4 linked regions of the Styela clava genome follow. The protein of the gene in region 4 purifies or fractionates together with the protein of the main gene of each other region. This does not show direct contact. Links are inferred from orthologs where the notes say so. Each region holds a gene or a part of one and is shown on either strand. Other genes may lie near its edges. The genes, in order: F-box/WD repeat-containing protein 5-like, F-box/WD repeat-containing protein 2-like, F-box/LRR-repeat protein 4-like and cullin-1-like.

Region 1 (7,937 bases), on a different chromosome or scaffold from region 4:
TCAGTAACACAAAAAAATGGACGAGTACTAAATTTGTAGCCTATCGTCGACGAGAATCTCCAAATGCGTCAGAAACAAACGGGAGTTATGGATTGGATAAAATTCAGTTTGGTTTGTGTATTACTACAGAGTCAGACCAATGAGACTCGCATTAAAAACACAAACAATTAAATTAGTAAGATAAGTGCGGTAAAAATTAAAATAACAAACTGACAGAAATGTTAAAATAAATATTATGACGTGTTTCAGGGAACTAAATGAAACCAGCAAAAATTTTGCTTAAATACGGGGTTCCGTAAAAAAATATAAGTAACAGATTTCTTATAGCATCATGAGTATGGTTACTGTTGGGGTTCATTGTAGTCTGCGTCGACAAAATTGTATCAAAAAAATTTGATGGTAGGGAGAGCCATGCGTTTTCTAGTCAAGACATCATTTGAAAAGTAAAGTTACAAATGGAGGTAGTGCACGATGCATAATTGCTCAAACCTTCTGGTTCACTCGGAATTGATAGATAAATTTAAAACATCCTACGGTTTCACTAATGCCTAAGTTACATTTAAAGTGAAATATTCAAGCCCTGTTTGAAATTCATTGGATGCAAATTTTTGCAGTAAATTAACCAAATATGCGGGATTGAACCACTCAAGATACGGCGATCGATCACGTTGGCCACCTCTGCACTATAAATAATATAAGGTAACCTTGTCATTGAATTGAATGATACTATTCTGCATTCCTACACTTCAGACCTATGTATTTCTGTCAGGAACATGACACAGACTTCATACGACCTTTTGCTCTTGCGCTGCTCAATAGTCTATGAAATGACTTTGATCGCCATATTTTGATTGAATTATCATCACTTACACTCACAGCCATGCTGGGATCACGAGGGTTCAAAGCAACACAATTAACAACATCCACATGTTTGAATGTGGAGAGCAAAACTCCGTAATATCTATCCCACAGGTAACCTTTGAGATTTTCTGATCCACTAGAAACATACAAATCATTACATGAAATATGAAGAAAAAATACATCACTGAAAGCTTCATGTCCTTCAAATGTAGCAATTTCCTCCATTGAAATCAGGTCTATTAAACCCATAGTAACTTTCGATGAAATATCCCGAGCCCAATGCCGAGGTGGAACTTCTTCATCCCATTTACGTACATTCACATACAAGTATCTTCCGCAAGGAGTTATTGACATACCCACCAACTGACCACCCATTTCGATAACATGGTCCCAGTTGTCAGATCGGACTTGAGGTCTCCCTTGTAGATTAATCGAATCAGACTCAAACTTTTGCCGAATGACATCAGTACACTCTTCTTGCTCAATTCTTTTGATTCCGATTTGATGAGGAACATTGAAGTCGTTTCCAGTAAAACATAAAAGTAGTTTATAATGTGAGGGTGAATTAATAGGCTGCGAAGCTTCATCTCCGGTTGTCACTTCTGTTGATTCACTATCATCTCTGTCTAGTTCATCATCTGTCAGCTGAGGACTTGCTGTTTCAGAAAATAGATTGCTGCTGTCTGTTTCATTTTCAAAATCAGTGATACATCGCTTAACAGAAGGAAGCAAAACAGACGATTCCTCCTCTGTATTCAATGATGTGTGATCATGAGAGACAACACTACTATCAAGCTTTATCTTTTTACAATTGCTAAATGTTCCTTCATATATATCATTGGTGACTCTTGCACTGCAAGATAGAACATTTTCATCACATCTGTCAACAATTTTATCACTTTCTGATGGAACGTTGTTTTTGTCCAAAGAAATTCTCACAGTGATTGAAGACACAGTTTCTAATGGAGTGGACGCTTCATGATTTTTGCAGGCATTCATTGATGATTCTGCTTCCTTAATGTATTCTTTATGTTTGCCAAATGCTTTCATGTGCATATCATGTATTTTTCCTTGGTAACAATCATTAGATACAGCCCTATAAACTTGTGATATAACCTTTTTCATATCAGCCACTTGAAGATAACTCACAGTGTTGTCATTTTCACAAGCAAACATATATGCACGCGTTACCGTCGAATGCATTAGGTTTTCTATTTCCTGACTCGATTTGTTAAGAAGGACTTCACACAGACATTGGCGACGGGCTGCTAGCAAATGAGCTCTTGCAGACAAGATATGTGTTTCATTAAGCCAAGTTCCCATTACATCAAATGGCTTTATTCTCACCCTTGCCTGTAGAGTGAACTCTTTAATAAAAATATTATATATAATTATTTCTCCTCCTTGTTGAGAGCCTTCACATCTTCCAGAAACTAGAAGTTGAGTATCGCTGCTACTAAATTGTGAATATTGAGTATAAAGCCACCTAAATTGGGAACTTCTCCCTAAATGTTCATTGAAGATTGTGTCAAATGGCCAGTCTGCACTGAACACCTTGACTGATGCATCTTTTGAACATGTACAAAACATCATACCATTATTTGAAAAAGCTACATGTAAAACTTCATCATCATGCTCAAGAATTCTTTCGAATTCTACACTAGGAACAAGATCTACCATTCTCTGATATTCTGATTTCCACGACATTCCATTAGGTCTTAAATCCATTTCACCTATCTTGAAGTCAAGGCGAAATCTTCTTTGCCACAGAAAATTTAAATTTCCGATCTCAAACCATCTTTTACAAGCTAGCGAGCAGCATCCAAGATCTTTGTAGCCCAATAATTTAAAAATTTGAATAAGTGGTTCTGTAGGAAGATATTTCCAACCATGGTGCAAATTTTCAAATTTATTTTTGTTGCAGTTTCCAGATTTCTGCTGGAAATATTGGTCTGTACCCATTTTTGTCTTCAAACTTTAGAAGTCTGCAGACATCACAAATTTAGGTCAGATTTATTTCATTTACAACATATTACGCTAAGAAAGCAACATATTCACGTGTAACATTTTTACTTAGGCTACATAGTTTATTCATTAAAACAAATGTTTAAACCTTACCGGTACTGCCTCAACCTGTCACTCAAGCGTTAGGAATACACTCACCACCGTACCTCTAATTACTCTGCGTGGGTTCGCAGGTTCGAATCCCATGCAGGGATGGTTATGTGCGAGAGTATTGCTGGACTCCTTGCCGTCGTTGGGTGGTTCACGTAACCGCTGGTCGGTTACGGCTTCCTCCACCACCAAGTCCATGCCTCCGAAAACAAACAATATAACTATTCGCTTCCCTGACTTGGAATGGTAACCGGACGAGAGGCCGCGGTTCGCCATACTGCCATATGGATAAGCCGTCTTATCGCCTTTCCTCTCCCCCGGGATAAATATGTAAATCCTATCCTAAGATTTATTATATGTATGCGGACATTGGAATATCATTCGCGGTGGTTATGGCTCATCGTGCTAAGAGTTAGGAATACGCTCGCCACCGCACCTCTGATTACTCTGCGTGAGTTCGCAGGTTCGAATCCCATGCGGGGTTGATTATGTGCGAGAAAATTGCTGGACTCCTCGCCGCCATAGGGTGGTTCACGTAATCGCTGGTCGGTTATGTCTTGGTCCACTATCTGACCATCAAGTCCATGCTTCCGAAAAACAAATAACTAACTCATCCTGTACCCAACATGGAATGGTAACGGACGAGAGGCCGTGGTTCGCCACATGGTTAAGCCGCCTTATCGCCTTTCCTCTCCTCCAGGATAAATATGTGAATCCTATTCACTTAGTACAGCTGTACAGTAGTGAAGTCCAAATAAAAACCTAATTTCACAGGCACAAATATGGGATAGTCATATTGTGCTTCAACTACATAAGATATTAGAGAATATGTATTGCTATATAGAGTTACACTCAATTATATTTACCTATTACAGTAATTTATGTTCGCAAACAACACCGGATGTATACCGGTACGGTACTACTATGTTAGACCTATGTTTTAATGAGGAATATTGTTGTTAATATAATGACATTATATAACTTAAGTAATTTGAAGACATGTTCATATAATAACATATTTGTAGAACTTCTTAACATTTTGAATAGTCTAAAAATTGATCCCAAAGTAAAATGGCAGAAAAACGATGAAAATCCCATCATTTTCACGATGGATGGGAGGTGGATATATTTTTACGTCTCATTTGTGGGGCGATTGTAGCGACGGCAAAGCAAAGAGATATTTCACATCTTGTCGCGCAATCTACCGCGCTAACTATCCACTCACTGGTCAGCGCAGTACAGACAGAAAAAGTTGGCAATTCAAATCATACAGCAATTCTATTTCTATTACGAGACCATTGTTTGGTTCAACCTATCTTTGTGAATCAACATTTTTGACATAAACTCAGGATAGGATTTACCTATTTATCTCGGGAGAAGATAGTCGATAAGACGGCTTAACCATATGGCGCACAACGACCTCTCGTCGGTTTACCATTTCATGTCATGTATAGGATTAGTTAGTTATTAGTTTTCAGAAGCATGGACTTGATGGCGAAGGAAGCCGTAATCGACCAGCGGTAACGTGAACCACCCAACGGCGGCGAGAAGTCTAGCATACCTCTCACGCATAACTAACCTGCGAACCTAACGCTTAGCACGATGGGCCACACCGCCGCGACTCACTCCACCAGGAACAAACACGGAAAAAGCCTCACTGATGAAAATCGGCAAGACTCGCTCAGAGTTACAGTGTCAAGTTACACGTCGCAGTACAACACTCTGCTTACGCTAGTTTCCCGCCGGTATTTTTACAATGAATAAAAAGTGCCTCGCTCGCACAATTGACAAAATTAAATAAACAATATGTAATTTTAATCTTTCTTCATGAAACAAGACATTTGTCTTCCGCTATTTGTCATTACGGCTGAATAACACGTCACGCTGCCGAAAATAATCGGCTATTTTAATAACAACATTAGCGCTGTGAAAATCGTCAATTGTGCGTTTTCACGGCGATTGTTGGTCTCGGATGGTTGGTCTTGATGTTTCTTCCATATCTATAATCGAGAGCAATTCTATAATCGAGAGCAATTATGACGTGTGGAATTTAGAAATCGCCTACGTTTTACTCCATCACCCTTCAAAAAGCACAAAACTGTAATATCACTCTTCAATGAGCACAAAAACGAGACTTAACGCACCGCTGCGCACAATTCGAAGAAGGTTTGCTACTAGCTTCACAGTGGTTACCGTAGTAGTATATATTTACGGTTACACATTACGCTTGAGCGATGCGTTATGGTATTCTCTCCACGCGATATTGTGGCGCGTCGTGTAGTCCTCAGCTATCTGACTGTAGCCGATGTCTAATGGGGATGTAGCTTGTCGGACTGATATGATATCGTTATTTATTGTTCGAAGATCTTAAGCTATTATTCGCTATTATTCACAATTTTTTGTGCTAAGTTCCATATAATTTTGTGGAAGAAAAATGCTAGCGTCGACAATAGTCTTAAAATCAATACCTAATTACATGTTTACCAAATGCTTGGGTCGCAAGAAGTTAAAAAAAATATATTTTGGGTCGCGCTAAAAAGTAGTTGCGGCCCCCTGGTCTATACTGTGACAGATTGCATACCAATACTAATTCGTTTTCGTCTTGATATATTTGATTATCACTCACTTGTTTACATTTATTATTGAAGAGCGATCGGTCTGCATTCCGACGAGATGCATTAGTACGTTTTTATTCATATTTTACACTACAGGGTTAGGTGACATCCTATGCCAGGGGTGGGCAATTTACGGTCCGCGGGCCGGATCCTGCCCACTGGAATGTTTCGTCCCGCCCACTTGTTCCTGCTGGAATTATGACTATAGTTTTCGTGGATAACTGGATATAAATTTCCGTTGAAAATATCGAAAAATTAACAAATCGTATACCGTAATTCCCCTCGTATTATCAGCACCTGAATATAACCATCCGAATTATTTATATCATCCAAAAACCCTGGAGCCTGATATATCAGCGTTTAGACCTGCCCATTTTTTTTTCATTTCCGCAACACATGTTCTTTACTTTTACCCGGTACATCAATTTCAGTACTTAAATCCAATTATTCTGCCTCCCATCACTTGCTAATCTTTCAATGTTATTACTGCACCCCCTGCTGCAAATACATACCTATTGCAGGGTGGTCCAAGGTTATCGGCCTCGAGGGCCACACTAATATTTTTGTATTATTCGCGGGCCACAATATTGCCAAGAATAGGCAAACAGTGCAAAACAAAGCAAACACACAGCAGTTAATAATTTAGACTAGCCAAGCACATTATTCAACTACGCTAGTCTCAGCTAGCCATTAAATTAGTCGATTCAGTGACATTAGTGATGTAGCAATATGTCAAAAGATTTTTCTGGCTATTTTTATGACGAAACGACACCAAATGAGATTTTTTTGTTTACCCTGCCGGAAATGCGACGCGGAACATAGATAATGAAGCGACGGGTCTGGGTCTGGACCACCCTGACCTATTGCTTTACATCAGTGAACTTGAATTTATCAAAAAACGTCTTAATGACTCTTGTTGTTACATTGTACTGCACTCACTTTTGCAATGGTTAAATCGGCGCTGACTACAGCAAATAGAGTTAGTCACTGTATTAACCCAAACTGATGCTTTCAGTAAAATCGGGTATTAATGGTATTGAAGTTACGGTGAAATGCTATTTAAACGTTTTAGGACTGGCGATTTTTAACAGTATCACTGTTAAAAACGGCCAAACATTAAATATTTCAACTAGTATTTCACCGTAACTTTGAAGAGTAACAGATAAATGCCATTTAAACATTGAACGACTGTTTTTTTAACAGTATTACTGTTAAAAACGGTCAGTCATCACTTATTTTACATTGCATTTCACCGTAACTTCAAAGAGTAACGGTGAAATGCCATTTAAACGTTGAACAGCTGGCTTTTTTTAACAACATTACTGTTAAAAACGGTCAGTCGTTTAACGATTAAATGGCATTTTTCTGTAAGTTGAATACTTGATAAACGTCAGTTGTCAGTAATTCGGAGATTTGTTTTTTTATACATACCAGTATTTAAAATTGTAGTATTGCACCGTTACTTCAATATTTCTAATGGCTAAATGCCTGAATACCGATTCCGGGATATCGGTACGGTAGTTGCACCACACTCAGCCACTCAGAACAGTGTTAATTAAGCTTCTTACTAACACACCTACTGTACTTAGGTCTCTTCTATGTTCTCACGTCATAATGTTATGAACTTGCTAGTATCCTGAAGCAGCGGCAATGAAGGTTCCTATAATTCAAAAGCTCAGTATAACCTGTCCAGGGCCGGATCATGCCTTTTCCAGTTTTAGCGGCCCTAAGTAGTCGAGCTGGGAAAATCGTAACAACCGGAACGCAGCTAACTTGTGAAAATGTAATTTATATTTACAACATGACGCGGACGCTACCACAAATTTTTGTCTGTCCTGAGATAGAGCCGAAGGACTACAATGAAATATGAAGAAATTATCTGGTATATGTCTGTTCAAAATTACAAGAATATTTATACCAATTCAATACGAATGTGTTTATTAGAAAGGTATTGGATGAAATTTCACGGGGTCAGAGGTCGGCGAAACATCCATTACACGTTATTGCTGTGCACTAAATATTTGTCTGCCGTAATGTAAAAAAAGTTATGGCGTAACAAGACGTAAGTTAATAAGTAAGTTTACAAGATGTACTAGAACTAGACTTTCTATGACATAATTTTATTTCAACAACCGGAACGCAAATGCAATTAAAAGTCCAACAACCGGAACGCCGTTCCGGTGCGTTCCGGCTACAGCTCATCACTGCCTATGTGTTTACACAATAGAAGTGCTAGTTTTGTATTGCACTGTTTACCTATTCTTGATTATTTTGTGGCCCGCGACCAATGCCAAAATAATTTTGTGGACCGCGGAGCCCACAACTTTGGACCATCCTGACGTAGAT
Region 2 (7,358 bases), on a different chromosome or scaffold from region 4:
CTTCGAAGTTGCATCGATTTCTTCTTTCAATCTAACACATTGTAAATGAAGACTGTTATTCTCTTGTACAAGACGAGCGTTGTCCTTGCTATATGGTTCCAAAATATCATCAATATTTGGATTAGCTGTTGGTGCAGCTGCTTTATGCAAATTAACTTTTGCCTTCTTCAATGAATCTGTCGTGTGCAACAAATCCGAGAACAATTGATTTACCAGCGGCATAGAATCGATACCAAAGGCATGACGATAACCCAGTTGATCCAACTGCTTTCGCAGGGTCACAAACTTTTGTTCTGTAACTTTGTTCATCGTGAATCATCTGCAAGGAAACAATTCATGGATTAATCAACCTCTTAAATAGATTACTATCAACAACATTCAACGCTGGCTCATGATTTTTTATGCTAGTGCGCTCAAAGTGGTTTGCAGACTTTTCTAAACACAAAACTGATCGAGTTATGATTCTGTTTTACATTCACCTTGGAAGTTATTGAAAAACAATAATATATAAATACACAAATATTTATAGTGTTATTTACAGATATTTATTCACCATAGTAGCAACATATATCGCTAACTGCTGCACCGTAACAACGGTTATTTACTAACTATGCTCGGCTTGCAATCACTGTCATAATTGATGTATTTTAATGTGGGGCTTCTCTCTTGGAATCGGAGAACTGTGACGTACTGGATTTTGAATATATCTTTATTCAAATATTGTTCGTTTGAAATAGAAAATGGCATCCAATAAAACAATAGTTATTCAAGTACAACAGAAATGCATACAAACTCCTATTTTAAATATTCATCTGATTTACTGTGTCATGATTTTTACAGATAGGTATGCAAACGACTCAAATCTGCATTTTATTTGCGACCACTATACAGATTTTGGGTCTGGTATAGTTTAGTACCACATTCACTTCTAGTTAGCCTGGCTCAACAATTTTTGCATATGTCAATCCTAACCCTTACCTGACTACGTCACCAAAAAATTACGTCATCTCGACGTCGCAGTGGCGTAATAAGGCCCACCAAAGTATGTGGATGGTCGTCCAAATCGCGCAGACGATCACCCGAAATCGAGCAAGCTATTTCTCTCGTTTCCTTGTCACAACGATCACGATAGGAGAGAGATCGCCGGCTTTAGCGAGTTCGTTATCGGAGGAGCAGATGCCATTTCGGGCGATCGTAATTATAATTTGGCAAGCCCTATGACGTGATGGTGACGTCGTAGTGACGTAATTTTTGGATGGCATAGTCAGGTGGTGGTTAGGAATAAAATATGCAAAATTCGTTATGCTACGCCCAATGAAAGTACTTGTGGTACTAAACTATACTAGACCCCAGATTTTATGTAGTCTAAAATCAAGGCATGTCTTTTGCAGTTTTGTCAATAACATCTTTCAACAGTCTGACAGTTTGGCACAGTTCTCCATTCCGAGATGTCCCATCATTCAGACATCAGGTTCAATAAAACAAGCACTCCCTTGTCTCTCAAAAAAGGGCATAAACTTCCTGGGCAACTCAAAAACACAGGTGTAATAAATATTTATATTATAAACAGTGAGGACAGAAGTAAAACTGTTCTATCTAGGTATCATTCAGACAAATGCTGAATTGCCAGTTTAATCAATCAATCAATCAATTTTATTTCGGTCGCTCTGGTATAAAACAAAACAATAAACGAACAAACACAAAATTAATTTAGTTTAATTAGGCTAACACGTTGCAGGCAGCCTTAAGTATTCTACAAAAAATAATTATTTCAATAGCTCACTTGATCATCCTTCGTTAGTAATAATTTATTCCATATCCGATTCTTTAATGAGCCTAACAATGAAATACAACCAACGGCAATAATCCGCGAGCGAATCGTCAAAATCGACGAGGGACGGCACCGCAAAGTAAACAACACAGCATACGGTAAGTTTCGAAAAACAGAGGGAAACGGTTGACTGTAATTTTTCAATTCAATAGCGCCATCTAGCGTCTCACAACTTCTCAGATAAGATCGGACATAAAACATCGTTACCCTATGTTCTCTATTATCGTTTCACAGCTCTGTTGTATGTATACCAGTATACGATATTCTTTGACTATTTAATAATCCACATTGTGGAGCTCGTCAAAATGAAATATATTACAGGTACCGGTTTTGATACGTTATTGATAGTAGTTTATTCCTAGGTAAGTGATGCGAATTTCGAAAATATATCTCTTCCATACGGCAGTACGGTAAGCAAGTACCTTCACGCCCGCCGACTGGCGGCAGCAGTAAAACTGTAAAAGTCGGGGTAATGTTTTTTCAGTTCGGTAATATGCTTGGGGTACTATATTTCTGTATTTGTTTATTGCTGATCAATTTAGGCCATATCCATTTCTAAGGAGAGTTCTACTCGTGTTGACCAGCCAGTCTAGTATAGTTCAGTAGTTTAGTATCACTGTACAGCTGTAGGCTACCATGATTCTGTAATTACTTCCAGTTGGCATAGCATAACGAATTTTGCATATGTCTGTATGTTATTCCTGACCCCCACCTGACTATGCCATAAGATCGCCGTGGACCGAATAGTAATGTTTTTATTTAGACGTATGAAGAAGCAACTGCGAGTTACGTTTGACTCATAAAATTAATATATAAAGATATTTCAGAATCTCGTAGTTGTCATGGATTGAATATTTTACGTGACAAGATGATCATTATACGCTGAAAGGAACGAGCGCGGAATCGCGGTGGCTGTTACAGGAGGCAATGGGAATTTCCGATTTCGAAAATCGTGAAATCCTTGAAAACTTATTGCTAATTTCAGACATAACAATATGATACACATAATAACAATATAGTTCACATAAATTAATATACAAATATACTGGTAGGTAGTAGAATACTCTAGACCAGGGCTTCCCAAACTTTTGAGCTCGCGGCCCCTTTTGATATATTAAAGTTTTTCGCGGCCCTTGTTCACGCTAATAATGCTAAAAAGTTCAAAATATGCTTTTTAATATTTTATTGACACAGCCAATTCTTAACTTTTAATAGGGCTACTCAATAACAAAAACATCTTTACTCAAATTATTCAATGTAATGGTGCAAATCTTTCTTGCTCAACTCTGCCTAGTTTTTCTTCAAAATGCTCAAAACTCACTCATGTTCGATGAGATTCTCATGTTCTGAAAGTTCGGTTTTCTGTAGATAAAGATTATTTCTACTTGGTTCAAAAAGCGTTGCGCACCACATCTCCTTTGCGATTTCGTATTTATATTAAGCAGGCTTTTCTACCATGGCCCATTGAATTCGATTTCACTGACTGTTGTTAGATTTTGTTTGTTCGTTTATATTAAACTCAATGCAAAAAAGGTATTATATTATATTAAAAGATATTATATTGAAATGTATCAATACGTACGGTATTTTTCACGGGAAGTCGCAACTTGAGCATATTTCTGGAGGTCGTCACAATACAATTAAGTTCGAAAACTACTGAGTCCTATAGTTGAAAGAAATCTACTTTTTAAATTGTTGATAACCTATATGTAGCCGCTATTTTTAATGGAAACGTGCTATTAAATTTGTATCATATTCCGGTATTCATATTTCGTATATTAATCTCGTTATTCTCAACATCCCCCTAAAATGAGCTCCAGTGTTCAAAAGAAAATTGATGACAATTATTATCGGGAAAACACGGTGTGATGATGTATATTCACTCGGAATCGTGAATTTATCGTTTTACACTATTTTTAATGATTGTATTTCAAATTAGGAGTCTGAAAAAGTGCAATAGATATAGTACTTTGTGTAAAATTGGTGTTCTCTTCGCGACCCCTTCCAGGGCCGCGGCCCCTAGTTTGGGAAGCCCTGCTCTAGACATAATGGATATTCGAATGTTGTTCCTTGCTTCAGTTGCCTGTATTGCCAATGAATTTTATTACTCTCAGAAAATATACACACTTATCTGAATACAAGTAGTGTTTTTGTCAATAGACTTGACTATTATCGTAAAATCATGGTACCATTGATAGAAAGCGTCAGACAACTCCTTGGCTATCTTTTCTTATGGTCATTTGTACTAAGTGTACAACTGACTGTGTCACAAGTTGCTATTATTTTCATTGATAGCTATAAACTATCAATTAATTTGTGTACATATACTGTTGGTTTGTGGCTTTATTCTGATATTTCTATTGAAGCTTATTTCCTATTTTACTGGGTTTTAATGGACTAAAACTAAAAAAAATATGTTATTTTCGATTTTAGAATGTATTCGGAAATGGCCATCCCTGCTCAAACCTCAAATAAGTTAGACATTTATGGACCTCAGGGGCTTGGAGTCAAAGTTTTTAATATATTGATATTATATGATTATATTGATATGATTCTTTCCACAGCAAGTATTTTTTTGGTCCTTTGAACATTTTAGGAATTATTTCGTACATATCCCACTTACCGTAATATGCATATAACTGTTTTTTTCAAGTTTTATATCTATTCTATTGATAGATATATTTATTAAATATATGTTTTTTTTATAATCAGTATATAATTTTATTGAAAGACTAATTAATTCGTTCTTGGGGTTTCGTGCTGCAATGGCAATATCACATTCTTCTATTCATTCTAAAATGAGTAATGCTTATTGGCACCAAAAAATTTTCTTCCAGATAATGCCATTGAATTCCAATTGTCTAGGCTCATATACTTAACAACAAACAACATGCTTTAAATTACTTGATTATGCAATAATATTCCTTGCAACAATATAACCCATTCGTTACACACTGTGTGAGGCTACGACATATGTCTGGCCCATGCCAGAACCATTTTTAATATTTTAGACCTGTGTTGTCATCAAAGCCTGGGCAATATGCTATTTATTTAATCTTACTTCTGATACTATTTTTTAGCAAATATGGCAGAAAAAATAAAATTTTCTAAGATGAATCACTGGTTGTCCAAAGTTGTAGCAGACTTTCAAGAATTGTCAACTGAAGATAAAATTACAGCATTGGATGGGATTATAGATGCATGTGAAGCACCCGAACTGAAATATCTTTCAGATCGTCTGGAAATATTTTTGAAGCGGGACTTTGTTCGATTTCTTCCAACAGAAATATGTATTTATCTTCTGAGCTGGCTAGATCCCATTTCATTAGGACGATGCTGCCTAGTCAGTAAAACTTGGAATGAAGCTGTTTCTGCGTGTCAGCCAGCATGGTTAAAAGCATGCAAGACTATCGGGTGGAAAGTGGATGATTCCATAATGTCTGGAGGTTATTGGAAAAAAACTTACCAGCGAGCTCTGATAAGACTACAGCAATTAAAAAGTGGTTCTGCTTTTAAGGTATTAACTTTACTTGGACATACGGCTCGTGTATATACTCTTCGATACAACGGAAATAATTTGATGGCGTCTGGTTCAGATGACCGAAGCGTGAGACTTTGGGATGTGGTAACCGGAGAATGTTTACAGATTATACAGACTCATACATGTGCAGATCTTGCATTTGATGAATATTTTGTGTACACTGCTTCTTTCGATAACACGATTGGATGTTGGGAGTGGAGTTCGGGAGACATGATTCGGAATTATAGAGGACATACTGGGGCTGTTTTTAGCGTCTCTTATGACAATGAAAGAGAGTTGCTTGTATCTGGATCGGCAGATAAAACAGTTCGTTTATGGCAACTTTCAACAGGTGAACAAATAAACATGTATCATGGACATAGAGAATGGGTAACAAAAGTCATTTTAAGAAAGAGTGAAGTTGATTCCCTTCACCATAAGCCTGGTGATTATGTTATCTTATCTATGGACAAGGTTGAGATAAGAATATGGCTGATAAGTGAGGAGGTCAACTGTCAAAGTTTATGTGAATTATCAGCTACTGATTGTAGTGATAAACTTTTATCAAATTCAATGCCATCTTATCCTACTACTCCTCTTAATACTGATGATAACAATGAACATTGCTTCCTTCATCCGCAACTTCTTTTTGATGGCACACGGATTATGTGCTCATCCGAGCGAGGAGTATTGGAATGGGATTTTAAAGACTATACTCTAACTCGAGTAACTCCTCATCAAAACGACCCATCTTTTCTACTTGGAGCGGGTAAAACTATGTTTTTTGCTGCAGACACTCGAGAAAACTGTTTGTTTATTAGAGTGCTTGATAGCACCACAGAATCGCAACATCCTAATTTGTTAAACCGTAAAAAACTAGTGTTAGAAAATAATCCCTCAGTTAGTCACCCAAGTCCTAGTCCGGAAACGGTCGACTATGAAGTCGAATCAGAGCCCTGTAAGGCTTGTTGCAGCAGTTCATTACCTGAACAATCATTAAAACTTCCAAAATTTTCGACGAAACTAAGCCTGGAAGTTACTGAAACCCCAAATACAGACGATTCTGCAAGACATCATGGTATACCTAATAGTAGTAGCACAGTTGAAGATGAATTAATTAACGATATCAATTATAACAGTATTAAATTACCAAAATCAAAGACTGACAGTCATATTCCTACTGTAATATCTAATAACATAACTCCCGACGATGGAGGCACTTTTCAACTCCAACAGAATGTTGGAACGGAAAGTCTTCCAGGCGTTTTGGGGCGGTGGAATTTACCTATGTGTCGTTGGTCAAAACGAGGTTCAAATTATGTTTGTGGAGATCAATCGTGGTTGAATGGTTTTAGTGATGCGAACCATTCCGGTTTAGTATTTGCAGCGGCGTTACCAGACCATTCTATATATTTATTACAATGGTCTGATTGTTCATAGTATTATTGTTGTTAAATAATCATAGCCTGAGAGAATTTAAAATAAATATATAAAATATATGTAATGTTCTATTTATTAAAAAAAGCATTGGATATTCAGATAAACAAAACTACTGCCATTTTAGTTTTCAATACAGTAACAGCACAATTTTGGGAATATTGGTGATTACTGAAAAAGGGGATAATTGTAATATATGGATTGAGCACAGAAAAAGAGTACGAGTAGATTGTTAGAAGCGGATTATTCCCAGCAGTAGTCCAAACCCCTAATTTAGATTTGTCGATATTCCTTTATTCCTAGGCTAAATATTTCCACTGCATATTGAGACTAACTATAATATAGGTGCATCAGCGGCATGGCAATTAATGATAGGTAGCCTCCAAGTAAAGTGTTTTTTTTATTGGAAGTGACATCCGATTTTTGTACACTTTGTTGTTTAGAAAAATATAAAATATTATTGATATACAAAAATAGTTATGGTAGTTGATAATAGCTAAAATGTAACAGTTTCCATCATTAATATTTTGCTTTCAACAAGATTTTTCAACCAGATTTCACGAAATCTTG
Region 3 (7,978 bases), on a different chromosome or scaffold from region 4:
CAGCGCTTACAATAGGCTTCATACACCATCCAGCACATTGTAAAATACCTAAGTTGTTAGTTGTCAGCCTGGAATATATTTAAAATTGGATATGACCAATTTGATTTTTTCAGATTAAAATCCAAGATCCCGGTTTTCTTCAACCAGAAAATGATGAAAACGTGAAAGTTGTATCAGTGATAAAACAATGTTTGATAAAAGACGCAGAAATTGAGCATCAGATCGTAAAAGATGGGTATGAAAATGTATAATATCTAAGAAATTGTAGTTACAAAACTGCAACTACAATGCTGTACCATCACCATGTAACATCACTTTTACGGGCTGCATCATTTCTATATGGCCTAGCTTCAGTTGCAGAACAAGTATTCAACTCACGATATTGATATTTTGTTTATAACATTTTTACCAATGCCTAAAAATAGCTAAGTATATCAGTTAGTATCGCCACCACGCCATAAAGTTACTCGTCATAACGTGAGCATCGGAGTGCGCAGTATTCACTCCACCTGAACTACACTTGATATTAGCCTACCGACTTCCATCCTACAGTTGCAGAGTTGTATCATCCCGGGACGAAGCACTTTCTGAAGCATCTGAATTGTGGATTTATACTTTTTTTTTTATCTCTAAATGACATTATTAGACACTTACAAATATATTTTATTTTATGATTTCCAGGTGTTCAGCTTTTGGAAAAACAGAAATCTATTCCAGCGGTACATCATTGGAATCATCTTTGAAAGTTAACTTAAATAAAATTGTATCATCTGAAAGTACTAACGCAACAATAAGATGTTTTATGGATTTATGCATAAAAGGATCCTCCAATAACTGCCAACCGGTAAAGCCTTGTATACAATAATCATGTTTGTTCTAGACCAGAAGAACTCTGGTGGCGACCACTACCGGAAAGTCCGATTCCATCCTCCCAGCAAGATTACCAAATGAACAATTAGTACTTGACGTTTTTTTTGGTAACTCTCTTATCATTTTGAGAAAGTTGAAAGTACAAGATAAAATTAGAAATAGGGTGCTGTCGGGCCCATCAACCCACGAGGTTAGCGAGTCGAGTCATTATGGCATCGTATATCACCCGTTTAAACTCATTTGAAATTGGGTAGGAAATATCGAAGCTGAAGCGAAGACAATTCTGGAACCTTACTAGCTCCTCTTCTATCAGTGGGTAAATGTCCTAAGCTCTATTCGTAAAAGCCATGCGCAAAAACAACAATCCTTAACTCTTTTAATAATTTCTTCGCAATGTAGACTTTTCTAATTGTAATTCATCAACAGAAATGTACGTCACGAAGAAAGAGAACGTTGAACGATGTTATAAAGCCTAATTCCTCTGCTGATTCCACAAACAAATATTTTCTCAAATTCAACGGCGAAGAATTTACTACTACGATATATTTGATGAAACCAACAGTTATTCCTTTAGTTGAATCCACAAATTACACAGACGCAAATGTGAAGCCAATAAACACGAAGAACAAAATCAATAGTTCCCGAGAAGAAGACGAAATTCATCCCAGTAAGCTCCTACTTTTTTCCCCATATAGTTAGTAGTGTACAGTAAATTATTAACTGAACTAAATGAATTACCGAAGTTCAAGTAAATCTGTTTCGTATAAAATAGTTTGTCTAAATTTTCAAATTGCATTGTAAAATTCTAGTATTTATATTAATAAATTTTTTCTTTTTTTACAGAACTTCTTTTAATCTGTATATTCGGCGGGTTAATTCTTATCTTATTGATTGTGTTGATTGCCGGAGCTCTATTATATCTTAGACGAGTGTGGATAGCACATGATGAAAAGTGATTTTTGTGGAATTTCAGAAATAAAATATTTTGTATTATCAATGTATTTGTATTTATTAACACGAAAGAATGAGTAGTTTTTATTTTTGTGATTGCTGGGGTATTCGGCATTTGTCCCGCGTGTGACGAAAACCCATAAAGAATCTGGGCTTGAGTTAAAAAATTGTGAATTAATCTGGTTAATTCTCACGTAGAGCGTCTATGAAAGCCATTCCGTGGGCTGGTTTTACACATTGTTCTCTCACCACCGCAACCATAAATATAATTTAATTAGCAGGGTATATTCAACCGTTTCTTGATGGTTTCGTGTCCCACTTTTTTTGTCATGGTGAAATTAGATTTTTTTTACATAAAAATCAATCACAAAATTGCGATAAAAAATTACCATACTATGGGATCCTGATGAAGCTGTTATGCTGATTTTGAAGATTTCAATTCGAATTATTGGACACGAAACGTACATATGGATTGTTCTGTTATTATGTTGTTGTTGTTATTCTTGTTGATAGTATTTTTTTTATTACCGTTTTGGAAACATCGATTTTCTCATTAATAACTACTAAACCGATTGCTTTGAAATTATCAGTGGTTGAAGATTGTATTTTTCGCTAGAAGTGGCCTTTATGCGATTCGTGTTTTGTGTGCGATGACGTCATCAAAATTGCTAATTAATTTGATACCAGAAGCGTTGGTTTTGCATTTATTTTTGTACGAATTTGGCGGCAGCCCAATTGACGACTGCATGATCGTACCATTACCCCACAGTCTGTAGGCTTTTGACAAGCAGGAAGATATGGTGATACAATTCAAAATTTCAAGAACTCATTAATTAACAGCAGGTTCCCAAATTTTTAGAAATTGTATGTATCTCACTACGTAAGATGCATTAACATGACACGCTTTAAATAAATCTAATATATAACAAAAAACGCCCAACATACCGCTGATCTTCAACTGCGGTGCACGACCACGACATTCCAGGGATGGATTCGCGTGAACTCCCTGAGTGCCACTGGTGATAGGCAAGAAAGACAAACGCTAACTCTGCCGGGATTTTAAGGAGGCAATAGTCCGACCACAAAACCAACTCTGGAATGTCCCAACTAAAATGGATATGTTGGCTATGTCCCGATTAAAAAGGCTATTTCACCACTAATATATTAGTTGTAGACAGGAATGTGAGTTTCGAATATTTTTTAGGATAAACTGTTGTTAAATAACTAGTGAATAAATAAGGTTGGTAGTGAAAAATATATTTATTGGATGCATCGAATACCCAAAATAGCCGTACATGATTTTTTTTGTTAAATAGAGATACACTCAATCACATATTTATTTTTATTAGATAAATGTTCGTTTGCGAATAATAAACGCCAGTTAATATTGCTTTAGTACCGCTTGCGTCTTGAGTAAAAAAAAGCAATGATTGCGGGAGAAACGCAGACCTAGGTCTCAATAAGAAGTAATTATTATAATAGTGTTAAATCGATGGTTCTAAGGAGAGATGATATAAAGATATATTTTCAAAACTTTTTAACGTTTTAAGTAATCGAACTAAATTTGGGCGAAACCAGTGAGTCTTTCAAAACTGCGACCCATATTAAATATAACAACCTCAGGAGTGTTACGAATTCGGGAAAGCTGTAAACGCAGGACGAGACCCTTTTGGTCGATGATGACACGGCGCCGTTGCGTCAAAAGGATAAATTAACATTTCGAGCAAATAAAGTCATACGATAAAATCCGGAATTTTGAATTGGTAAAATTCTGAATTACTTTTAGAATAGTTTCATTTGTAATTCTATCATTTTGAGTCATTGAAGCACGGTAGTCTATGACTTGCGGCATTGTAAAATTGAAACTCATTGAATAACATCCAATTTCTGGTTTATCTTCCAAGACTTCGACTTCCCTGTGGGCCACACGAGCAAAGACCTTCATGGGGTATTAGTCTTCATGCCTACATTAATTTGCCTACAGGTATTTATGAGTAGATTGACTACGATTTGTTTACTTCTTTTCTTTGACTATAATGCAACTATTATATCTGCTTGCGTTTGTTGGCTTTCTCATTATAAAACGTGGAACATTAAATAGATGATGGAAACACGTTACAAGCAAAACTGAATAATTTTATAGAAGCTCAGGGGTCACAAGTGTTGAGGTATTTCGAAGGGAATCCGATCATGGGAGTTTGAAACCAGTGTGTTGCGCGTAAGGAATACGCTTGCTATCGCGCCGCTGATTACCTTGCGTGAGTTCGCAGGTTTGAATCCCGTTAGGGATGATTATATGCAACAGCATGTCTTCGTCGTTGTAGGGTTCACGCAACTACTGGTGATGACGGCTTCATTCCATCCGTCTGAAACAAATAACCAGCTATCTCATCCAAAACTCGGAATGGACTGGTAACCCGGGCAAGAGGCCGCGGTACTCAGGCGTAGACTTCATGATCAGTCTTATAGGATTTCTTCTTCCCTCAGGATAAATATGAGACTCCTATCCTGAAAATCTTGAAATAAACGATCCCTCTAACGGTAGCTCTGGCATTAGTATCTTCTCCTTCACAGAGAATACCATGGTCTATCTATTTTCATTCAACGCCACTTGTAAAGCAATGGTACACAATCATGCCTTTCGAACTTTTCTTACTGCGAGTACGTGGTCTTCCAATATATCAGATATCAGAATTCGAAACGTTTGACTCTCCCTCGGTAAATTTTATGACGACGCAGATGACGTTGATGTTTTCATGCCAGCGCACCCGAGCGTGTTGAATTTTACAGTCAGCTGACAAAACGTAAACAAAGGTTGCAAAGTGTCAAGCGTCCTTGAGTACAAATTATACGAGAATAGGATTCCACCTGCAGGAGAAAGCAAATTCGTTAGATGTGTGAAAAATAGATAATGGTTGGATTATCAGGTAAAGCCTCGGCGATACCGGTATCTGTCTTCTTTAGTTATAGCTGTATTTTATACTCTAGTCTGTTAGTGCAGTCCGGTAGTGTATTGAAGTACCTATATTTCAGGATTTCCCGATCACTACTGCGGTATATTGTTATAGATCTACTGCTATAGCCTAAGGCAATTCGTGGCTGAAGCTGTCTGAAAGTCCTCTTTTTGTGGAGAGCTAGCTAAATATTTTTTGAATTACTGATATTTAGATGATTAATATTGTTAGCTGTTAGGGTAAATAGATAAATTGTTAAAGAAGTGACGCTGCTAAACTATGCTTTTATAAATGTCTGATTGTAGACAACATTTCAAAAGCGCAAGAATGAAAAGCAATCAACCAAAATTTATCAAGCAATATGCCTCTGGTGTAATCGACTTTAGTTCACAGTATGGGGGAGAAAATCCCAGAAGTGTCTCCTATTCGGTTGCAAATATTGCCGGAGAACCAAGAATATTTCCATCGTATGGAGATTTCACTCAAGCTGCAGTGTTCCGAACTTATGGCCCATGGTGGAAAGATAAAAATGAGGCATCTAAAGCAACTGGACATCCCAGGTTTGATATCACTTTACAAATTATTTACCGTAATAAAAATGTTAACGGAATTTCGTATTACCATATTTATTCATGGGGAGAGAAAAGAGGATGAAACTGCTCAATAATATGACTATGGTATATACAGAAATCTTGTTCTCCGCTGCTGAAAGTTGGAACATGACGAATAAGTTCCTTTTGTGTGATTAGTTTGAAAAAATTGTTGCAGTAAAGCTAGGCGTTCTATAATTATTGTTATTCTTGTACAGGGAAAAAAACTTCTTCAGCAAAGATTACATTGATTTAGTATTTGATCAATCTGTCTACCCATGGTCAATTGCCATTTTTGAAACCTACAACCCTGGAGCCGTGGTCAGGATACTTGCATTAAGACAATCATTTCCAGTACATAATATTGGGTAGGTAAATCATTCTTTTGCTTTGATTTTTCAAGTTGGTTTTCACTGATATTGTAGGGATGGGCAATGTAGAATAATTTTCTATTCTAGAATATTCTAGTATAGTTAAATCGAATCCAGAATACCGAATCCTATTCTATTTTCATTGGGAATTTCCACATTGCTGGATTTAGATGTTAAAAAATTGCAATGTATTACTTACTATAAATGTATTATTTATTTGGAAATGACCTGAACATTGGATTTCATTTGATACTAAACAGGCAGTTCCCAGGACAATAAAATTTAGGAATATTACAATATTTTTTGCCATCAATTGTTCCAAATGTATGTAATCCCTAAATCCCTAAATCTAATAAATACTGATATGCTAAACTAAGACACGCTTTACACACTTTAATAGTAAGCGGTTAAATACAAAATAGACATGAAACGGCGTTAAATCATTATTAATGTAAGTCTGTCGAGTGTACTAAAACATACCCGCTGAGAATTAATTAGATGCAGAACCAGCGTGTGGCCACCGCAACCTATGCGCCTTTGTAAAATATTAAATTTAACCACTATCAATTAAAATCAACTTTTTATTCTGTGCGAGCAAGACACGTTAAACCAAGTTCCCGTAAACGCGATTTCGTACTTAGTTATTAGGTAATAACGTCTAAAGACGAACTCATTTTCTATGATTATCGTTACATATCATTATCTACCCAGACTTGGCCCTACTAAAATTCAATACGTCACTATCTTCGCCAGATGCGGCAACTTTTTTCAAAATTCATCGTCGTCTAAAATACTACAGACTTTCGATCAAACGTGCTTCTATCTTGAACGATAGAAATGTTATCATTAATCATTATCTACCCAGACTTAGCCCTACTCAAATTCAATACGTCACTATCCTGGCCAGATGCGGCAACTACTTTCAAAATTTATCGGCGACTAAAATACTACGGACACTCGATCAAACGTGCGTCTATCTTGAACGATAGAAACGGACCGAAAAATATGTAATGTTTTGAGAGTGAAATTTAAATGTGACAGATGTTCGCGTTTTGCGATATAACTTTGTATTTCGGAAAATGGTATAATAAAATTATTAGTAAATAATATTTGATCGCAAGTAATGTTATAACATTTAACGCCTGGCTTTTGGTTTACGTGCATCATTTTTTTGGAAAACTCGTAGGTCGCGAAAAATCATTCATTTAAAATGAAGCAAAGCACGTCTGTAAACAATCAAAGATTGTTGCATTCAGATTATCGGAATATCACCAGTGAGTCGGCACAAATAACGCTAGCTAGATAGCAAAGAAGGAAAACGCAAAAATGGTGCAATAACGAGTCTTCGCCGTGAGGTTATATTGCCGACTTCTTGTCCTGAATATGCCGATTGAAATTACAGTGTTTGATGTTTACCGATTTACGGGTTCTTTGCGAGCAGAGCAGCAAGTTTAATTAAACGAGAGAGATTTGCACGTGAGAAAAACGCTCGTCTATAATTGATAAATTAGAAACCCGAAATACAAAAATTGACGAATGGCGCCGGAAAGGCGGAAACCGAATCCTGTTATCGGATCGCGTTGGATTCGAATACTTTGGGATTCGAATCCTCCGGATTCGGTATTCTATATTGCCCATCCCTACTGATATTGAAATATAGCATTCTCCCTATTATCATGATGTTTTATCTGGAACTTATAATTTTATATTATAGGTTTAATCAAGCTTTTTTTTTCGTGAGATAGAATTCAAATCAATAATTCATAATTGATTGATGAACCCAACTTAAAAGTATTGAAGATATGATTTAATATGCTATAACATTACAGAAATATAATATACCATAATATATTTTTCACAAATGTGTTTTAAATTGAATCTGTGATAAATTGTTTCTTTTACAGACTCTCTCAAAATGAAGAAAGGCCAATGCCAGTACCGGTTCCATTTGCACCAGGATGCTCACATTGGGAGGTGCTTATGTTTTTGTGAATTGTGTGAAAATTTTTTCAAAAACAATTGTCTAGGGCAGTGAGCAATTTTTGTTTTCATGCAATAAAAGTGAGGTCATGTGACAGCCATAAAAATTTGTTTGCAGTTTGCTGACCGTCAACTGGTATACAGTCATCATGATTTTGCCCCTGGGCATCCAAATATAAAGTGAAACGTTTTGATCAATTTTGCAATAGAAGGGATGTGCGTTGTTAATGAAGTTGTTTTAAAGTAGGGCGGGTAGCAATAA
Region 4 (6,975 bases):
TTTTGATACTGTCGACCATGCTATTCTCTCTCAAAAACTTAGATATTTTGGCTTTCGAGGTGTCGCAGGCAAGTTATTAAATGATTACCTGTCCGGACGTTATCAATATGTGGAGTTAGATTCTCACAGGTCTTCGTTATTACCCATCCATTACGGAATTCCACAAGGTAGCGTATTAGGACCTTTGAATTTTTTAATCTTCATAAACGATCTTTCAAATTGTTCAAATTTCTTGAGCAAACTCTTCGCCGATGATGCCTGTCTGCTCGACAGTGCAAAGAATCTAATCTCACTGCAAGCCGAGGTGAACACTGAAATTAACAAAGTGTATAATTGGATGGTATGCAATAAACTTACTGTGAATGTTAAAAAATCTAAAGTTATGTTGTTTGGTCCTAAAACTCGAACCAGACATGAAAACTTTTCAATTAAAATCAGGGGTGTCACACTCGAAATTGTCCACTCTTTCAAATATCTTGGGCTTCTTATCGACGACAAACTAAATTGGAACACTCATACTACTGAACTGCATAAGAGACTGTCAAGAGCAGTTGGAATCCTGGGTAAGCTCAGACATTACGTCCAGGACTCAACTCTCCGAACCATATACTTCGCACTTTTCCAGTCTCATATACAGTATGCTATAACTGCATGGGGCTCCGCCACCCAATCAGCGTTGCACAGTTTGGAAGTTTTACAAAATAGAGCAGTTAGAATTCTCTCTAGAGCACCCATTCGATCTAACTTAAACACCCTATACTATAAGACCAGGGTGTTAAAATTAGCCGATATCTATCAACTAGAGATTTCCAAGGTCATGCATCAGTTTCATAGCAACCATTTGCCCGCTGCTTTCGACGATTATTTTGTTTCGCTCAGTAAAGTGCATGATCATAACACACGCTCTTCGACAAGGTCTAATTTATTTGTACCCAGATTTTCTCTAAGCAAATCCCAAAACTCCTTGAAATATAAAGGTGTGGTAACTTGGAATAATATTCCCTTAAACTTACGTAACTGTAGTTATGACACTTTCAAATTCAAATACAAAAAATTCATGCGCTCCCTTTACCTTTCCACTGCCTCTACATCCAGTTGATGTTGTCCCAGCAAATCTTTTCGTCACTGCCAGCTCATCATTTGTCTCGATCCAAATCACCTGTAACAAAACAATGCCTCGTGTAAATATTCGTATTGTATTTTAGCTTATAATTTTAATTGTGTATTCCATACTGATGGGCACAAGCCACTTGACAAGTATTTCTGTCACCAACACATTGTGGGTTGAGGTAAAGCCAAAAATTATATTACTAAAATTATATAACAAAAAAATATTGCAGGCTTTTTGCCCTACTATTGAGCCCGCTCCTCAATGATCTTGGTCTCCTATTTAGTGTGTAATTTCTTGATATCTATTCTGTTAACTGCCAATGACAAATTCATGCCTACAGTCCAATGCCCATAAATACACTTATTGTTACCATGCCATTTTACATGCCTCAACTGGGATCCAAACTTAATTGGCATCCTACTGATTACTTTCATTATGGGCAGTCAAGCCTAATGTTGTATTTGTTTTTACTATTTATAATGCTTCGGTAACAGTGATCCAGGTCAATTGTTTTTATCCTTTTGATTAACTTAATTTTTTTTTTAAATTTTCCTAGTCTACTTCTATGGTATGATACTCACTTCATTGTGTTGTATTAATACTGCTGAATATTTCGATGTATATTTTCCTCATGTCTATACAATTCCCGTATGTGAATCTTTGACTCCAGCATCAAAACACTTGTTAGTCCAGGTCAACATTTTAGCTTTTACACTACTAGCTTGTTTCTGCCTCAAAGTGTCAATATTTTGTTATTTCCATACTTGATTGGTACGGTATTCTATACTTTTACAATTTGCGTACTCTTAACATCCAGTTTTATTTCAATCTGGACACTTATATGCACACAATCGACTTGTGTTGCACTTTACCGTAGCCGAACTATTTACCTGCCATGACCACACTGCAAGTCTGTTTGGTTCACTTAATAATTTCCATGGTTACCTAGACTGTGGTGCATGGAGTCGATTTTCTTATTTTTAAACGGCGATTGCTTGGTTTTTACCGGGTCGCCTTGACGCATCGATTGCGTTTCTTTATTTATTTATCAAGTAATATATTTTGTTCGATTTAATTATATTTATCACGTTTTTGTTAGACTTCCCCGAGGGTGCCGCCGCTCGATAACCAGAATTGGTTTTCGGCGTCTCCTTTCACCCTGGAATGCGGTCTTTTATATTTTCTTTATTTGTGTATGTAAAATTCGTACTTTCAGCTTGGTGAAGAAATAAATTACTGACTGACTAACATTAAATGAAAAGCACATGAAGACTTTTCAATATATCTTTTTAGCTTGTATATATATGTATTTCGTTGTTTTATATTGTTCTTTCCTGCAAGTTACAAAATAAATGATGACGGTAATCTATGTCCTTTATTGGGACTTTCCATAGTTGGCAACCCTCCCGGAGGGCTTATATTAGGATCATTTTTAAAATTCAGGCTAGGTCTTATTTTCGGGTTGGATTTTATTTTCGGGAAAACACGGTAGTTATTTGCTCTATACCGCCACACTGCCTTCATCTGAAGTCGTTTTATTTGTGTGCTATGTCTCGCCTCGTCCGCTTTCTGGCTTTAGCTGTTGGGCTGTCGCTCAGTTAATTTGACTCGCCGCTACTTCGCCTGTTCTTTGTTCGCATTACATTGTTTGTTGAGCTGGTTGTCCGAGCCGTAGATGTTCGTGTTATTCCAGTATTCGGCGATTTTCGGCTTGAATACGTACAGACTTATCCAGTATGAAGCGCATGGCGGTATAAGCTACGTTATCCCAACAATTATCTGGTTAACTTATTTATAATTTAAATACTTTGTATTAAAATCAACAACAATTCGATTATTCGGTGATTTTTAGCTTAAATACGTGTAGACTTATCTAGTATGTAGCGCGTGATAGTAAGCTACGTTATCTCCACAATTCTCTGTTTATTTACCGATTTAATTACTTCATAAGACAGTAAGAATATCAACAAAATACTGGAAATATGTGAATCCAGGAATCCTTAGTCCTTAACAAAAACACAATTCAGAAATTGGTTGCTAGGTGAAGTAATAAGAGCAGATTTGTGGAAATGCAACGGAGTTAGACTACCTAACTCATTAACCAGATTTTAGAAAATCTGAATTATTCATTCCAGTATTCTGGAATGAGGTGCACTAGCCTACAGCACTAATGCGGCTCGGTGGTGCGGTGCATCGTTCAAAGCGTTAGAAATACGCTCGCCAAACCCTGCATGGGTTCGCAGGTTTGAATCCTGTGCGATAGGTATGTCTGTATGTGCAGAAGCATTGCTGGACTCATCGCCGCCGTAGGGTCAGAGGGTGGTTCACCCCACATAACCCTGGTCGATTACGGCATCCTCCACCATCAAGTCCATGCTTCTGTGCTTCCGAAAACAAATAACTGGCTAACTGATCTCAAGCAACATTGGCTGGTCTCCGGGTGAGAGGCTGTGGTTCGCCATATGATTATGCCATCTTATTGGCTTTCCTCCCCCCCACGTGATAAATTTTTATATCCTAACTTAATGCCTGAATGTAAGTTAAACTAGACACAATTTTTCTTCTTATCTTAGCAGTCTATTTGCTCTGCAGTTTTCAACACAACCGTTGTTACTCGCAGTACTTAAGTCAGTACCAGTAAATGTTCTTTTCATGAGTTCTGTTGTATTTATATTTCGACTGTCCTACTCCAGTACTGCTTTCCAGGAATCCCACTAAATTTTGTATTGTATCAAATGAATCTGATCCTTTGTAATACAGTAATAGCTGTGTGAATATTAATATCCTAACAATAAAGCATTATGTTATAATTTTGAGAAAAAGTTTACGATACGGTTATATCTGTAGCCAAGATTCCTACTTATCTTGATCTGTTTTCTATTCAGCTATTACATAAAAAAACATAACAGTGTATCAGATGTCAATATTTATTTCAAGATAACACTGGTAACTTAATCTGTATATTGCCAGAAGTTGTAATCAGCAAACTTCATAATGTCTAAGTAAGCTGTTTTTCATTTTCTTCATGTGGTCAGCTGTCATTTTTTCACAAATTTTCTATTTGTATAGGTCAGTAGGTGGTTGATTTAAAATGTGTTCTTTAGAAGTGTACGTTTCAATCTGATCTTAAAGTTAACTGGTGCTCGATTGGTGGTTACTTAAGCCAGATGGATAAAAAAACACTTTATTCTTTGTAATTACCAACACAATGTCGATTCTGGCAAATCTAAGATTTGAAATCCATCTTAATTTTGAATTTGTTACACATCCATCTTTCATTACTTAAACTGTTTGAAACTTTAGGGACAACTTTCATTTTGTGAATGATATGGCTTAATGTGAATATCGATAACCTGCTTTGACATAATTCAATAGCCTATTATGCTGAATCCTGTACAAAATTGAAATTTGCTTTGCTTGGGACCATTTTAGACTACATTATACATATACATTATACAAATTTTATTGATATATTATAATAAATGTATTTTCAGTTCCAGGAAATCTGGAATGAACTCTGGATCACTAACAGGAAAACAGATTGGTTTAACACAAATATGGGAAGATTTAAAACAAGGGATGGATCAGGTAAATCCTGCTTAAATTAAATATCAGGATGCAAGTGTCGTCATATCTTCTATTTAAATTAAAGTTACATCGAGTGGAGCGTCCGAAGTGACTATTTTTATCTGATAAGTCAGCAGGACGCTGCCGGGCTGAGGTCAATCGAATATCCCATTTTAATGTCTTATATCTGTCATCGATTGAATTCGACTACCCAGTTTATCGTGTGAAAAACGTCATGAATTTTTTCTGATGACATGAAAACTTTTATTTATAAAAGCAATATCGAATAACCTTCTGTGTAAAATAATCATCTGTATAAACATATTTTTCTGTGTTTATCCTATTATGGGTAATCTCTGCTACCACTCCTTCGTGAAATGTATATACTTGTATAAAATATTTCATCACATTCAAATGTTGTAGAAAGGCCCACACTTATATTTCTTGGTAGGAAATGAAAGTAGCTTCAAAACAAGGCCACAACTTACTTTGGTTACAAAGATACGACGCTAGCCTTTATTGCTACCAAATATCACCTAATTTTTAATTAAAATTTGAGCCCATCCTGTATGGGGAGGGAAATTGAAGGTTGTACAGGAAATATAGAATTTAATGTAAAAAATTTAATATTATGAATGATAATTGCATTCCGTTTCATAAAACATTTTTATCAAAATTTTCTTTTTATATATGGCAATACTTCTTATTTAAGGTTTACACAATCAAAAGTATGACGAAGCCAAGATATATTGAACTCTACACGTAAGCGTTATTGTTGCCACCATAATTTAAAATTGTATTGAAATTTAATGATTGCCACCCACTGGTATTATTTTACATATAGTCTAATCTAGATTTACCATATTAGGTTAATGACAAAGAGACAAAACAAATGAACACCAATATGAATGTTCAATTGAATATGTCGCGCATCTCCTTATTAATTATATATGTGTATTTACTGTATGTCATATATGTATGCAATTTGACATCGCATGTTCTGGGTCATGGTGGGTTGGCAGAAAAAACATTCTGTATTGTTTCTGAATATCTCTCTATAAAAGACATGTATGATTTATGTCCCAGGTGTCACAATTTATTTTAGATATAAAAATATCATTCCTAGTGGTCTATCCAAATAATTTCAGGCATGTATACAATTACTGCACATGCGTTCAACTTAGTGGGAATTCACGTCAAGCACCAGGTGCAATAGTTTCTAATAACAGTTTCAAATCATCACCGGGAAAGAAATGGCAGAATGCTCAAAGTGCACATTTTGTTGGGCATGAACTGTACAAAAGACTCCGATCATATTTGCAAAGTTATTTATCTAGTATACTCCAGGTACGTGAAATTTCCAACCACCGGTATTTCCAAAACTGACTGTTCATTTATTTTGTTATCTTTACCAACAAATTCCTTCGATGTGATTAGTGTTTCGACTTACACATTAATCATGTTGAACTATTTTTTTTTTCATATACCGGTAATATTAATGTTCCAATATTTTCTTGAGCTGGCTATTTGCTTCTAAGAAGTTGAATTTAATTCATGTAGTCATGGATTTAACAATTGGATCTATTCATAGTTTCGGTACTTATATATTTTTTTTATATATTCTTGATTCTATATATAATTTAAAACAGTTTCAATGTGACCAAGTGGCAGATCTATATGGTCAAAAATTTAATTAGTGACTGATGGCTGTGAAAAATAGAAAACGAATCATACTTTTCCGAATTGAAACTCATTGAATAATGAATATACATTAATATCTGCATCGTTAATCATATCCCAATTTGAAATATATTCGATAATTCAAGTATTTAGTACAGCTGGAAATATCCCCGCGATTATCCAGTATTTGACTGTGTTGTTGTTTCTATCCCCACTTGTTTTGATAATTAAGATTGAAAATATTGATTTTGATGAATTCATTTTCAGGAGGGGATTGATCTTCTTGGGGAAGATGTTTTGCATTTTTACACAAGACAATGGATGGGTTTTCAATTCAGTAGTCGTGTATTAAATGGTGTTTGTGCCTACTTGAATCGACACTGGGTTCTTAGAGAGTGTAATGAAGGAAGGAAAAATATTTATAAAATATATTCCGTGAGTTTTTTTATTCATATTATACTAGAATTTTCTGTCTTGACTATAAAGATTTTGAAAGATTTTACATTGTTTTTTTGTCAATATGATCCAATACAAAACAAGTTAGCAAATCAATCTATTTCATGATCAAAAAGTCATGGGTCATCATACTCATCAAAGACTCATCATTGTTATTGAAA

Evidence for each region.
Region 1: the proteins of cullin-1-like (region 4) and F-box/WD repeat-containing protein 5-like purify together in Homo sapiens (affinity purification with western blotting; 9 studies listed by BioGRID and IntAct, with this or other methods). This does not show direct contact. The link is inferred for Styela clava from reciprocal best matches to the Homo sapiens genes CUL1 and FBXW5.
Region 2: the proteins of cullin-1-like (region 4) and F-box/WD repeat-containing protein 2-like purify together in Homo sapiens (affinity purification with western blotting; 13 studies listed by BioGRID and IntAct, with this or other methods). This does not show direct contact. The link is inferred for Styela clava from reciprocal best matches to the Homo sapiens genes CUL1 and FBXW2.
Region 3: the proteins of cullin-1-like (region 4) and F-box/LRR-repeat protein 4-like purify together in Homo sapiens (affinity purification with western blotting; 4 studies listed by BioGRID, with this or other methods). This does not show direct contact. The link is inferred for Styela clava from reciprocal best matches to the Homo sapiens genes CUL1 and FBXL4.

Annotation. Positions count from the first base shown.
Region 1 is NC_135255.1:1,742,018-1,749,954, forward strand, and holds the start of F-box/WD repeat-containing protein 5-like, read right to left. Parts: upstream 3,010-7,937; 5' UTR 2,824-3,009; coding exon 766-2,823; 3' UTR 1-765. UniProt on the Homo sapiens protein: Substrate recognition component of both SCF (SKP1-CUL1-F-box protein) and DCX (DDB1-CUL4-X-box) E3 ubiquitin-protein ligase complexes.
Region 2 is NC_135258.1:9,386,658-9,394,015, forward strand, and holds F-box/WD repeat-containing protein 2-like, read left to right. Parts: upstream 1-4,915; 5' UTR 4,916-4,916; coding exon 4,917-6,791; 3' UTR 6,792-6,850; downstream 6,851-7,358. Other genes in the region: centrosomal protein of 135 kDa-like, read right to left, coding at 1-309; A-kinase anchor protein 14-like, read right to left, coding at 7,285-7,358. UniProt on the Homo sapiens protein: Substrate-recognition component of the SCF (SKP1-CUL1-F-box protein)-type E3 ubiquitin ligase complex.
Region 3 is NC_135250.1:8,735,971-8,743,948, forward strand, and holds the start of F-box/LRR-repeat protein 4-like, read left to right. Parts: upstream 1-4,968; 5' UTR 4,969-5,066; coding exon 5,067-5,335; intron 5,336-5,583; coding exon 5,584-5,733; intron 5,734-7,640; coding exon 7,641-7,710; intron 7,711-7,978. Other genes in the region: uncharacterized protein LOC120348461, read left to right, coding at 114-235, 682-844, 1,297-1,537, 1,714-1,826. UniProt on the Homo sapiens protein: Substrate-recognition component of the mitochondria-localized SCF-FBXL4 ubiquitin E3 ligase complex that plays a role in the restriction of mitophagy by controlling the degradation of BNIP3 and NIX mitophagy receptors.
Region 4 is NC_135252.1:8,233,845-8,240,819, forward strand, and holds the start of cullin-1-like, read left to right. Parts: upstream 1-3,965; 5' UTR 3,966-4,105; coding exon 4,106-4,113; intron 4,114-4,605; coding exon 4,606-4,699; intron 4,700-5,390; coding exon 5,391-5,440; intron 5,441-5,826; coding exon 5,827-6,025; intron 6,026-6,625; coding exon 6,626-6,793; intron 6,794-6,975. UniProt on the Homo sapiens protein: Core component of multiple cullin-RING-based SCF (SKP1-CUL1-F-box protein) E3 ubiquitin-protein ligase complexes, which mediate the ubiquitination of proteins involved in cell cycle progression, signal transduction and transcription.